Saccharomyces cerevisiae S288C: one gene and its partners. The gene in region 2 interacts genetically with the main gene of each other region. Each region holds a gene or a part of one and is shown on either strand. Other genes may lie near its edges. The genes, in order: ARF3, YMR1 and AZF1.

What was found.
Region 1: of YMR1 (region 2) and ARF3, extra expression of one rescues a mutant of the other (dosage rescue), as found in Saccharomyces cerevisiae (one study listed by BioGRID).
Region 3: of YMR1 (region 2) and AZF1, extra expression of one rescues a mutant of the other (dosage rescue), as found in Saccharomyces cerevisiae (one study listed by BioGRID).

Annotation. Positions count from the first base shown.
Region 1 is NC_001147.6:500,125-504,391, reverse strand, and holds ARF3 (Arf family GTPase ARF3), read right to left. Parts: upstream 1,598-4,267; coding exon 1,046-1,597; downstream 1-1,045. Other genes in the region: ribose-5-phosphate isomerase RKI1, read left to right, coding at 64-840; CMR2 (Cmr2p), read left to right, coding at 1,940-4,267. UniProt on the Saccharomyces cerevisiae protein: GTP-binding protein involved in protein trafficking; may modulate vesicle budding and uncoating within the Golgi apparatus.
Region 2 is NC_001142.9:631,156-635,970, reverse strand, and holds YMR1 (phosphatidylinositol-3-phosphatase YMR1), read right to left. Parts: upstream 2,357-4,815; coding exon 290-2,356; downstream 1-289. Other genes in the region: PXP2 (Pxp2p), read left to right, coding at 1-116; carbamoyl-phosphate synthase (glutamine-hydrolyzing) CPA2, read left to right, coding at 3,030-4,815. UniProt on the Saccharomyces cerevisiae protein: Lipid phosphatase which dephosphorylates phosphatidylinositol 3-monophosphate (PI3P). Involved in the control of PI3P-dependent signaling and in the maintenance of endosomal system integrity.
Region 3 is NC_001147.6:530,860-535,674, reverse strand, and holds the start of AZF1 (Azf1p), read right to left. Parts: upstream 1,601-4,815; coding exon 1-1,600. Other genes in the region: COPI-interacting protein CEX1, read right to left, coding at 1,882-4,167; YOR111W (nucleotide diphosphatase), read right to left, coding at 4,548-4,815. UniProt on the Saccharomyces cerevisiae protein: Transcription factor involved in the diauxic shift. In the presence of glucose, activates carbon and energy metabolism genes, and in te presence of glycerol-lactate, activates genes needed for cell wall maintenance.

The DNA of each region.
Region 1 (4,267 bases), on a different chromosome or scaffold from region 2:
TCGTGTTACATAAACTTGGTTACCGCATACTGCAACCTCATATAAATACAACATAGGAAAGAAATGGCTGCCGGTGTCCCAAAAATTGATGCGTTAGAATCTTTGGGCAATCCTTTGGAGGATGCCAAGAGAGCTGCAGCATACAGAGCAGTTGATGAAAATTTAAAATTTGATGATCACAAAATTATTGGAATTGGTAGTGGTAGCACAGTGGTTTATGTTGCCGAAAGAATTGGACAATATTTGCATGACCCTAAATTTTATGAAGTAGCGTCTAAATTCATTTGCATTCCAACAGGATTCCAATCAAGAAACTTGATTTTGGATAACAAGTTGCAATTAGGCTCCATTGAACAGTATCCTCGCATTGATATAGCGTTTGACGGTGCTGATGAAGTGGATGAGAATTTACAATTAATTAAAGGTGGTGGTGCTTGTCTATTTCAAGAAAAATTGGTTAGTACTAGTGCTAAAACCTTCATTGTCGTTGCTGATTCAAGAAAAAAGTCACCAAAACATTTAGGTAAGAACTGGAGGCAAGGTGTTCCCATTGAAATTGTACCTTCCTCATACGTGAGGGTCAAGAATGATCTATTAGAACAATTGCATGCTGAAAAAGTTGACATCAGACAAGGAGGTTCTGCTAAAGCAGGTCCTGTTGTAACTGACAATAATAACTTCATTATCGATGCGGATTTCGGTGAAATTTCCGATCCAAGAAAATTGCATAGAGAAATCAAACTGTTAGTGGGCGTGGTGGAAACAGGTTTATTCATCGACAACGCTTCAAAAGCCTACTTCGGTAATTCTGACGGTAGTGTTGAAGTTACCGAAAAGTGAGCAGATCAAAGGCAAAGACAGAAACCGTAGTAAAGGTTGACTTTTCACAACAGTGTCTCCATTTTTTATATTGTATTATTAAAGCTATTTAGTTATTTGGATACTGTTTTTTTTCCAGAAGTTTTCTTTTTAGTAAAGTACAATCCAGTAAAAATGAAGGATGAACAATCGGTGTATGCAGATTCAACACCAATAAATGCAATGTTTATTTCTTTGGAACGTTTGTGTTGTTCGAAATCCAGGATAATCCTTCAACAAGACCCTGTCCGGATAAGGCGTTACTACCGATGACACACCAAGGTTGGTTTTTCAAATTTTTCTCCAGTTCTAAAAAATCGGAAACCTCTTGAGGTTTCATTGCATCTTTCAAATCTTGTTTGTTTGCCCATACCAGCAGTACTACATTCTCCATCTCTTTCTCACCTATGATACTATATAACTCTTCTTTGGCCTCTTCCATACGGTTTCTAGCACTAGAATCTATCACAAAGATAAGTGCGGTGGTGGCTGGAAAATAATGTCTCCAGAGAGGTCTCAATCTTTGTTGTCCTCCTACATCCCACATGTTGAATTTTACGTTTTTATAAGTAACGGTTTCCACGTTAAAACCGACAGTGGGAGTAGACGTCTTTATTTTATTTAATTTTAGTTTGTACAATATTGTTGTCTTACCAGCCTTATCCAGGCCTAGCATCAAAATTTTCATTTCTTTCGAGCCAAATAGTTTTCCCAGAACCTTCGAAATTGAATTGCCCATCTCTACAATTAGCTTGTCTTTTCCTTTTTTCCGTTCTAAATCCCAATTATCTTCCCAATGTCAAAGCAACTGTAATGTCTCAGTCTAATTCAGCGTACGTTGCGTCTTACTATGCTTCTGCAAATAGGGTTTTAATGCTGCGTACATCTTCATTATCTTATAAGTGCCATCATTCGGACGGGTAATGGATGAAATCGTCAAAACCCGATTACTTTCTAGTATGTTTTATTTCTGTTTATAATGTAGTCAAAAGAGCTTCAACAGATTTAACATTTGCTTCCGTAAACTTGGTGTTAGGGTGATTCAGTTCTGTGTAAAAGCGTGTGGCATTGAGTTACTCCAATGGATTTTTCTATTCCTCCTACCTTACCTCTAGATCTGCAAAGTCGGTTAAATGAGTTAATTCAAGACTATAAGGATGAAAATCTAACAAGAAAGGGTTATGAGACCAAAAGAAAACAATTGCTAGACAAATTTGAAATCTCCCAAATGAGGCCTTATACCCCGCTTCGATCTCCCAATTCGAGAAAGTCGAAACATTTGCACAGAAGAAATACAAGTCTTGCATCATCCATTACGTCGTTACCTAATTCAATTGACAGACGTCATTCTATCTATCGTGTCACAACTATAAACTCGACTTCTGCGAACAATACTCCCAGAAGGCGGAGCAAGAGATATACAGCTTCTTTGCAATCGTCATTGCCAGGTTCCAGTGATGAAAACGGTTCAGTGAAGGATGCCGTTTATAATCCTATGATACCATTACTACCAAGACACACTGGAGCCGAAAATACTAGCAGTGGAGACTCAGCAATGACGGATTCTTTACCGCTAATTTTACGGGGACGCTTTGAACATTATGATGGTCAAACAGCGATGATCAGCATAAATTCTAAAGGCAAAGAAACGTTCATCACATGGGATAAACTTTATTTGAAAGCGGAGAGGGTAGCACATGAATTGAATAAGAGTCACCTTTACAAAATGGATAAGATTTTACTATGGTACAATAAAAATGATGTCATCGAATTTACTATTGCATTATTAGGCTGTTTCATATCCGGCATGGCAGCTGTACCAGTCTCATTCGAAACGTATTCTCTGCGTGAGATCCTTGAGATAATTAAAGTAACAAATTCGAAATTTGTTCTGATTTCTAACGCATGTCATAGACAATTAGATAACTTGTATTCGTCATCAAATCATTCAAAAGTTAAACTGGTTAAGAACGATGTTTTCCAGCAAATCAAATTTGTCAAGACTGATGACTTAGGGACGTACACAAAGGCAAAAAAAACTTCGCCTACCTTTGATATACCGAATATTTCATATATAGAGTTTACTAGAACACCGCTAGGTCGTCTTTCTGGCGTCGTCATGAAGCATAACATCTTAATAAACCAATTTGAAACGATGACAAAAATTCTAAACTCACGATCAATGCCTCACTGGAAACAAAAATCACAAAGCATCAGGAAGCCATTTCACAAAAAAATTATGGCAACCAACTCAAGGTTTGTTATCTTGAATAGTCTGGACCCTACTAGATCTACTGGTTTGATAATGGGTGTGCTTTTCAATCTTTTTACTGGTAATCTTATGATATCTATCGATAGTAGTATATTACAACGACCTGGGGGCTATGAAAATATCATTGATAAATTTAGAGCCGACATTTTACTGAATGATCAGCTACAATTGAAGCAGGTAGTTATTAATTATTTGGAAAATCCCGAATCAGCTTTTTCCAAGAAGCACAAAATAGATTTCAGTTGCATCAAGTCATGTTTAACCTCATGTACCACTATAGATACCGATGTAAGCGAGATGGTTGTTCATAAATGGCTGAAAAATTTAGGATGTATTGATGCACCATTTTGTTATTCTCCCATGTTAACGTTATTGGACTTTGGTGGTATCTTTATATCTATAAGAGATCAATTAGGAAACCTAGAGAACTTTCCAATACATAATTCAAAACTAAGGCTTCAAAATGAATTGTTTATAAACCGCGAGAAATTGAAGCTTAATGAGGTTGAATGTAGCATAACTGCTATGATTAATTCATCAAGCTCCTTCAAAGATTATCTTAAATTAGAAACATTTGGCTTCCCAATTCCTGATATCACTTTATGTGTGGTTAATCCAGATACGAATACGTTGGTGCAAGACCTCACTGTTGGAGAAATATGGATCTCTTCTAACCACATCACCGACGAATTTTACCAGATGGATAAAGTGAACGAATTTGTGTTCAAAGCAAAACTAAATTACTCCGAAATGTTTTCTTGGGCAAAGTATGAAATGCCTACTAACGAAAAATCGCAAGCAGTTACTGAACAATTGGATACCATTCTGAATATTTGTCCTGCAAATACCTACTTTATGAGAACCAAGCTTATGGGGTTTGTTCATAACGGAAAGATATACGTGCTTTCACTCATAGAAGATATGTTTTTACAGAATAGATTAATCAGATTACCTAACTGGGCTCACACATCAAACCTTCTTTATGCCAAAAAAGGGAATCAATCTGCTCAACCTAAAGGTAACACTGGAGCAGAAAGCACTAAGGCTATTGATATTTCGAGTTTAAGTGGCGAAACATCTTCGGGATACAAAAGAGTTGTTGAATCCCACTATCTACAACAGATTACTGAAACAGTT
Region 2 (4,815 bases):
AAGGTGCCTTGAATATTGGTTGTGATAAGGAAACTGTGGAGGCAGTGAGAGGATTGGCTATACTAATATCTCAGTGGTGTGGTGTTAGTTGGAAATCTGGTGTTGTAAAATTGTAAGCCCCTTTGCCGATCGGCCACTCGTTATGCTCATAATATATGTACCCTTATTCATTAAAATTAATATATATATATGTATACTAACAACGGAGAAATGCTTGAACTTTTCTATACTTCTATCATTGTATGCAAAATACTAACTCACTTATTTGTCTTCTTTGCCGTTAACCAGATCACTTTCTATTAAACATATCAAATCCAAAAATTGACAAATTTAAACCCTTACCGCCATCGGAATTACTATGCTCTTTACTCTTTTTATCCACCGATATGGGTACTGAGTCTCGTTTATGGCGTAATTCATCATTCATTTCTGAATCTTTTCTTCCATATAACTGCCACCACCATTGGACTTTCTTCAGATCCGGCGAAATCCACTCCACTTTTTCTTCCTCTTCAAGGTTTTGATCGTGCTCATTCATGCCGCTTCTTTTTCTCTGTATGAAATTTGGATTTATGAACTGCTTTCTTCTAGATCTGAAGTAGTCCCAGACACTTTTAGTCTTGTTTGGCAAATTCTGTTGAAATTTCTCCTTCTCGCTATTGGAAAGGAATGTTCCATATTGGCATGAATACAAGTGGTAAACTAGTCTTCTTAAAAATCTTTCGTTGAATTCAAATAGATCTGGGTTTTGCGTCAAAAGTTGGTATACACAGTCTAAAAATTGTTGGAAAACTGGGGAGACGAACTTTAGACTTTTCTTGTTCAATTTAAAGTTTTCGTTAAATTTTTTGGAAATTCTACTCAAATTAATTAAATTCGTCTCATCTTCACCTCCTTCATCATCTTCAGCATAATCGTCTTGAGTGTTAACACCTATGTCAAGATCATCGCCATTGGTATCCACATCGTTGAAGTTGGAATGCATAGTGTTATCATGAAATCTAATATCAGAGTTTAAATGACCACTTCTTTCCAAAAACCGGTGACCAAAAGAGCACCAATCTTTTTCCACTAGGATCATAAAACCTTCAAAAGTTCTATAGAAAGGATCCAAACAAATTTCTAATAGTGATACAACTTGACTGGTTCTGTCCCAACCGTCAGAACAATGAACCAAAACGTTGGAATGATTGAAAATGATGGACTTTAAAAGCATATCAACGGATTTTAAAATAAGAGTGTTCAACTTCAACCAATTGGAAAATTTTTGACTCCTAATTAAATTCTGTTCCAGTGGTAAATTCAAATCGCCACCTTGGCAGATAACTTCCGTCATGTATGCAGCTGTGTTGGAAACAATATGAATGTTATCTATACCAAGAAATAACCGTGTAACTGTGGGCAGTTTTAGACTTTTATCGACACCCATATTGTTATCAGCTAAAAAAAAATTATAATTATCCATATTTTCTGTCCCGCCACCCAACGCCATCTGTGCTAATGCATTTGTTCTGGGTCTGGCATCTACTATTACATGTTTCGTTCTTCTAATATCTTTATTACAAAATGAGTTGAAGCTTTCCCAAACTAATTTTTCATCTTGAATGGACCTCTGATTGATCAACCCCGGTAATGGTTGAGATGACCTAAGAATGTTGCAATCTGTTGCCTTGTGATGATAAGTTAAAACAGGAATTCTTTTCTGTGATCTAAACTTCGAAGCATGCTTCAATAATATATCTGACGTGGATCTTGGTACAAAAAGTTTTGAGGGATACGTTGGACAAAATTCATAGTGTTCGTTTACCGTGGATAGCCTCCAAGGACATGTTTCATCTTTACTGTCGAGGCCCTGCCTTCGAAATTCCTTAATTGGGTCATATATATCCCAGCTATCGGGTGAAGGTAGTTTCCTTTCCAGATTGTTGGATATGTAAATAAATGCATATAGTTGCGTGATATTGGACAGGACCGTCAAATTTAAGATGGAATCATACACCTTTCTTGCCTGTAGATGTAAATCACCACCGAAATCCAATGAGAATACCGCATAATCTTTCCCAATTACCTTGATATTTACAAAAGACCATAGATCCTTACCCTGGTAAAGCTTGTAATTCTGTGAATCCGTTCCCTCCAATTGGATTTGATTAGTGGAAGTCAACTTGGACAGTAATGTACTACCCGGGTTTTTATGCACTCCATAGATCAAAGGATATGGAAACCAAAATTCCGTCGACAATTGTGGTGACTCAAAGATCAAATGGTGAGTAGTCAAATGTAAAGTACCTTGTGTGGCCGTACCTCTTCTATGCAGCACTACATTAGATACTTTGGCAATCTTGATGTACTCCATCTTTGCGGAATGGTATACTATTTCTTTTCCCTCTTTTTAGCACTATTACACCCCGCCCACAAAATAAAAATAATAACGACGACCTAATCTCACCAAGTGACCCTTGTAAAACCTCCTTTTCTTTATAATGTTTCTTTTCTTACTAATATTTGGTACATTTAGGGTAGTGATAAAAGAATGGCAACATTGTTATTATTGTGAAAAATGAGGAAAATAGAAAATCAGAAACCCTAAAAAGTGATTTTACCCTATCAGAAATATTCAAATGTCCTAATTAAAAATAGTAAATCCCCTAAACATTCAGATTGTAAACTAGGGTTGAGAAAATGACTCATCCACCACTGTCTTCTTTCCTGCGGCATTCTATAGATTATTGTGAATGACTCTTATTGATGAGATGGCAATAACTTTTGAATATCAGAGATAGGAACCTCCATGTCGTAACGATTGTGTCACCTTGAGTAAGCATCGAGAAAATCCAATCTTTTTTTTTCCGTCATAAGCATTTCTGCCATGCTATTTGTATATATATAATTACTAATACGTCTTCTATAGTATGCCTTATCTCTTTTTTGAAGCGCTATTTAAGTTTAAGCATCGAAAAACTAACATCTATAGTTAAAATTAGTTCTATAAAGGAAGAGCAATACAGTACATAGACAGGAAGAAAAGAATGACATCGATTTATACATCAACAGAGCCTACGAATTCTGCTTTTACTACCGAGGACTACAAACCTCAATTAGTTGAAGGAGTAAATTCTGTACTTGTCATTGGATCAGGAGGGCTCTCTATTGGTCAAGCTGGTGAATTCGATTACAGTGGTTCTCAAGCTATCAAAGCTCTGAAGGAAGATAACAAGTTTACTATATTGGTTAACCCAAATATCGCTACTAACCAGACTTCTCATTCCCTGGCGGACAAGATTTATTACTTGCCCGTTACACCAGAATACATCACATATATCATTGAACTTGAAAGGCCGGATGCTATACTTTTAACCTTCGGTGGTCAAACAGGTCTAAATTGTGGGGTGGCTCTGGATGAATCTGGTGTTTTGGCTAAATACAACGTCAAAGTTTTAGGTACTCCTATCAAAACTTTGATCACTTCTGAAGATAGGGATCTTTTCGCATCTGCGTTAAAGGATATCAACATTCCCATCGCAGAATCATTTGCTTGTGAAACCGTGGATGAAGCTTTGGAGGCTGCTGAAAGGGTCAAATACCCAGTTATTGTCAGATCTGCATACGCTTTGGGTGGGTTAGGCTCAGGTTTCGCTAACAATGCAAGTGAAATGAAGGAACTTGCCGCACAGTCCTTGTCGTTGGCCCCACAAATTCTTGTTGAAAAATCTTTGAAAGGTTGGAAAGAAGTTGAATATGAAGTGGTCAGAGATAGGGTTGGTAACTGTATTACAGTATGTAATATGGAAAATTTCGACCCACTTGGTGTTCATACTGGTGATTCTATGGTTTTTGCTCCTTCGCAGACCCTATCAGATGAAGAGTTTCATATGTTAAGATCCGCCGCAATTAAAATCATTAGACACCTTGGTGTTATTGGTGAATGTAATGTCCAATACGCTTTGCAACCTGATGGGCTAGACTATAGAGTTATTGAAGTGAACGCACGTTTATCTCGTTCCTCTGCATTGGCGTCTAAGGCCACTGGTTATCCCTTAGCATACACTGCCGCCAAAATTGGGCTAGGCTATACTTTGCCAGAATTGCCAAACCCAATCACAAAAACTACAGTGGCTAACTTTGAGCCATCTTTGGATTATATTGTGGCAAAAATACCTAAGTGGGATCTTTCTAAGTTCCAATACGTGGACAGATCCATTGGTTCCTCTATGAAATCAGTTGGAGAAGTTATGGCTATTGGTAGAAACTATGAAGAAGCCTTTCAAAAAGCATTAAGACAGGTGGATCCATCATTATTGGGATTCCAAGGTTCTACTGAATTCGGCGATCAACTTGATGAAGCCTTGAGAACTCCAACTGATAGAAGAGTCCTTGCCATTGGTCAGGCCTTAATCCATGAAAACTATACTGTTGAGAGAGTTAATGAATTGAGTAAAATTGATAAATGGTTTCTTTACAAGTGCATGAACATTGTTAATATCTATAAAGAGCTTGAATCAGTTAAATCTTTAAGTGACTTGAGTAAAGATCTCTTGCAGAGAGCCAAGAAATTAGGGTTTTCAGATAAGCAGATTGCGGTTACTATAAATAAACACGCCTCCACAAACATTAACGAACTGGAAATCAGAAGTTTAAGAAAAACGTTAGGTATAATCCCTTTTGTCAAGAGAATCGATACTTTGGCCGCAGAATTTCCAGCACAAACCAATTATTTGTATACCACTTACAATGCTACAAAGAACGATGTGGAGTTCAACGAAAATGGTATGCTGGTTTTAGGCTCTGGTGTCTATCGTATTGGTTCATCTGTAG
Region 3 (4,815 bases), on a different chromosome or scaffold from region 2:
CGACCTTTGTTGCACCTATCAGGTTAGTAGCATCATCACTTACTGAACTTATGTCAGGTATAGGAGGTTCTTTACCAGAAAAGTTTGCCATTGCTGCTCCTTCAGCAGAAGTAGAATTGTCTTTACTCATCGGGGGATCAGTACGGGGCATCTCATTCTTGACGTACACAGTAGAATCATCCTTTTTCCTTTTCTTGATAATATTAGGTTGCATACCAGACTCGTCTATATGTTTGTTCAATCCCTCACTGCCTTCAATTACGTCGTTTTTATCCAATGGTCTTGATATAGCACTAGAGTAATTATCCTCATCATTCAAATGTTTTCGAAGTCTTTGTTCTATTTCTTTTAGATCTTTCCTACTATTGCTTGTGGTATCGGTAGAAGCAAGGCTATGGTCCTCTTGGTTTGGGATATTAGTACTGGTGGCGGAATTAATACTATTGTCGTTATTATCATTATTGTTGTCATTGTTGTTTTCATTGTTGTTGTTGTTGTTGTTGTTGTTATTGTTATTGCTACTGTCATTGCCATCATCATTGTCAACTTCATTACTTTTTCCTTTCATGTTATTGGTAACATTATCCGCGACAGGATCACCATTAGCTTTGTTGTTAACGGATAGTGAGTTTAATCTTGATTCAGGTATAAACGCATTTTGGCTGCTATGGTCCAAAGTACCTCTAACAAAAGAATTCCGCCTTTTGAATTGAAAATCGAAATCTTCAGGATTAAACTTCAAAGAATTATTTCTTGAACTCAAAAAGTACGGGTTCTGATTAGAATTACTGTTGTTTGTACCAGTATTAAAAAATGATTCATAATCTGCATTTGTGTTCATATTCCCACTATTATTGGTGCCATTGGACTGGCTTTTAGTAGTTGCTGCAGGTATTAACAGTGGAGGTCTCATAGAGTTTGATTCTCTTCTACTGCTAGGCTGGAACTGCGGTTGCTGTGACTGCTGCATACTGAAAAATTCAAAATCAGGCCCATCATTAGGTCCAAGATAAACAGAGTTTCTTTTTGAAGGTGGCTGCGAAGTATTATCATTTCTTGGTAAAAATTGATATTGAGAAGAACTTCCCGTTAATCCCGTCGAAAATGAAGGGGTCTTGAAGGGAGGCTGCTGGTGCGACTGCTGTTGTTGTTGTTGCTGCTGTTGCCGATGCTGATTTTGAAGCTGCTGTTGTTGTGGGAAGAGGTTGTTTACAATGGAAAAGCCGCGTCCGATTTGCGACAGGTCTGGCGGTTGATGTGTACTTGAAGTGGATAATCGTGGAAGATTGGAATAGGCGCCGCCAGAACTAGGTCCTCCTGTACTTGTTACTGGTACGTTATCAGATATGTTCAAGAATGAGTTGATAGAGGCGTCCGTGGAATATCGTGGCTGGTTGAAATTTGTATAATATGAAATCGACTCATTCCTTTGTTGTTGATGTTGCGGTTGAGAAGAAGCCGGTTGACTTTGATTAAGAATAGGAGTAGGGCCTTGCCCATGCTCCTGGTTTTGCTCCCCAGCTTCGCCTGATGATTGATTTTGGCTTTCATTTTGTCCCGCCTGCGTAGGGCCCATGAACTGTGCAGTTGGAGGAGGCATGGCTGGTAATTTTTCAATATCTGAATCTTTTGAAGTATATCGCTTGTGTAGCTGTTTTTGTCCCAATTAATTTCTCTGTGGGACCATCTATAGTACTACAAGGTTCCCTTTTCTGATGACTCTTCTTGCTTATGCTTCATTTCTACTGGAATTAAAGGGACCCTTCTTTTCCTCCACTTCTCAAAGAAGCGAAATCGCGGGGCACGGGCGTAATGTTTCTAAATAACGATTAACACTGAATATATCCTTCTACAATACGTAGGGCTATATAAGTCTTGGGATCACCAATTCGTATCCCAGGAGTCTGAATCCCCATCATCATCCCAGCCGTCAACATTTCCTTTCTTGGTTACCGAGCCGCGGATACTACTTATAGGCTTACTTCTTGCAGTTTTATTGGACAGTGACGATTTGGTGGTAACAGTAGAGTTACTAGCAATGTTTCTTGGTGCTAGGATCGTTGTTTTCTTCTTCTTGATAGAAAGCCTTGAGCTAGGAGCGATGGATTTTGCCAACGTTGAATTTTGTGGCCTTGTGTGTTTTTGAGGCACCTTTGATGGGCCGCTTTCATCTTGAATCCAGCCATCATCATTCAACTCATCATTCCAACTTTTATTAATTTTAATAGGTTTTCCGAATAATTTTGGGGTGCTTGCGGTTGTTACAGGGTTTGTTGTTTCATCGAAGGATTCTGTGGTACCATTTGTAATAAAGCCATCGGTATCGCTGAGGTCGTCCCATCCACTTCCATCCTGGGCGGAATCAATTTCGCTCTCGGTAATGTTACTTGGTGTTGTTGCTGAGGGAGAATTTAAACGTAAATTATTTAAAAATTGTGCGGCTAACAAATTGTCTTCTTTATTCATATCCTCTTCATCACAACCGTAATTCTCAAAATCAATATCTTTCACATCTTCCGAATCTGCAGTACTATCGTTTGTTTGAATAAGTTGGGCTTCTTTTTCCAATTTTTCCAGATATTCTTCGAACAGGATTTTGGCTCTGCCTCTTACTATGGGACTTTTATCTAATAAACCAGGGGCAATGACTGTTAAAATTTTGTTGGCGATTGTGTTCACATCAAACAGCTCAATCGACTTCTCAAGCCCATAAAGAGCAGCCAATCTTGGTTTTACTTGAGGATCTTTCAAAGATTTTGTGAACGCCGTAGCTAAAATATTCGAGCGATTACCAACTGACGTTGATAATATGGTTGAGATTTTACTTATTATGATGACTGTCCATGTTCGGATTTCAACGTCAGAATCAACCTGTGTTTTTGCGAGAAACCTCAGTAGCTCATTATTCAGTTGTCTCTCTGTTAAACATGACACAATGCATGGAATTGTCTTCAGTGTTTGTAATCTAAGAGTGGCATCAGAGTCGGTCAGACCTTGGATAAAATGTGGATATATCCTACTGGAGATCTCTGATTTGCTCAATGGACCTATTAATTTGGGTAGGTATATTAGTAAAAGAAATCTTACTTGCCTATCTGGCAGTTTAAAACTTTGGGTGATAAGGTCGTTGAAACCAACTGGAAAGGTGTTCGTTTCAGAAGTTAGGTCTAAAACAATCGCTAAGAATGGTACTAGTTTATGTGATGCGTTGAAGTTCATGCCTATAGGGCTGGCAGCACTACTGATGCTTTGTGTCATTAATAATTTTATAATTTCACAAAGCTCTGGAATAATAAAATTTTCTATCATTCCAGGCGTTAAATTACGGAAAATCTCTCTTGACTCTAAATACAAATTTTCCAAGTTTGACATCACAACCAATTTTCCCTGTGGGTCCTTTATATGCAACTCCCTCAATTCTTGATAAAAGTTTATCAAAGGATTAGAACGCCAAGTTTCTGTATTTTCTAGCCTTTTTCTGAAGTTTTCGATTGTTATCTTTCCATCTGAAATCATATTTACATTGACAATCCAATCTTTGGGCAGACAAGAAGGAGCCATAAGGCTCTTTATCAACAATCCTAACCCCATTGAATCAATTGTATTCGGATCTTCACAGGGCAACTGTGAGCCAATTATGTTGTAATATGACCTCGCTCTACTGGCAAATTCAAACGCACTTAATCCTTCTTTGCTTGAACAAAGTTCTAGCCCAAATAGTACCCACTCTCCCTTAATATTGATAAAAACAGAATCTTTAGAAAGCGTACCAAGGACAAAGTTTTTTAAAAATCCTAAAGTTGCCAATAATTGTGATATTCCTAATTCAACACCAAATTTGTTTTGAGATAAAGAGCCTAGATTATCCCAAGGAAATGGAACTACTCGTTCGGTAACAATAAATGTGGATTGGGGGTCGGAATCAAATGTCTCCAGCACCGTACAAAGTCCTGGAATCTTCAAAATTTTGCTCTTGTGTACAGCATTTAAAATTAAAGATTCATTTTCTGGAGATCTTTTTGCCTTAAAAACTGTTACTGGCAAGGAATCTGCCTTCCTTGTACCATCGAAACATTGCCAAAGGGCGGTTTCAGTGATTGCAGTTTCCTCTATGGTGTATGGGAACTGGAAATTCGAAATAGATTTGAAAATGCTGGAAAAATTCATCACTTACAGATACTTGTTCACCAATAAAAGCAACGATAGTAACAGTGTCAAACTCTCGACTAAATAACTTGACGATATTATTGTTTTTAAGATACTTATATTTAATATAATCATAATATAAACAGACAAAGAGAAAGGGCCTTTTTGAAGGTGAAAAAAATAGAAGATGTGCGCGAAAGCGTGAAATTCAAAATGCGTATTGCTTTAAACTTTCTTTACCATCAATCGAAAAACTGTCTCGTAGAATGTTAATAGCCGTGTTATTTAGCGCATGTATCTATTCACCAATGTGGCCTTTAATATCCGTTCCACTCATTCTTCTGGTGTTGCAAAGATTAACATAGTTAACTGAGCAACACCAAAGAAAACCTAAACGAAGGTTATATGGAATTAGCCTCAGCATAGAGTCCTTTGAACGTTTTATTGAGCGGTAAACCAACTACGTTATAGTAATCACCTTCAATTTTTTCAATTAGAATAGCACCTTGCCCTTGTATTTTAAATCCACCGCCAACCTCCAGCCCATCTCCGCTTTCTACATATTCTTCCAATATTCTCAAAGGTATTTTGTTATCAAAGTATACCTTGGTTTCATCTCGGAATGGTACCAATTCAAAGTTTTCTCTGCCGTACCATTTAATTAAAGTC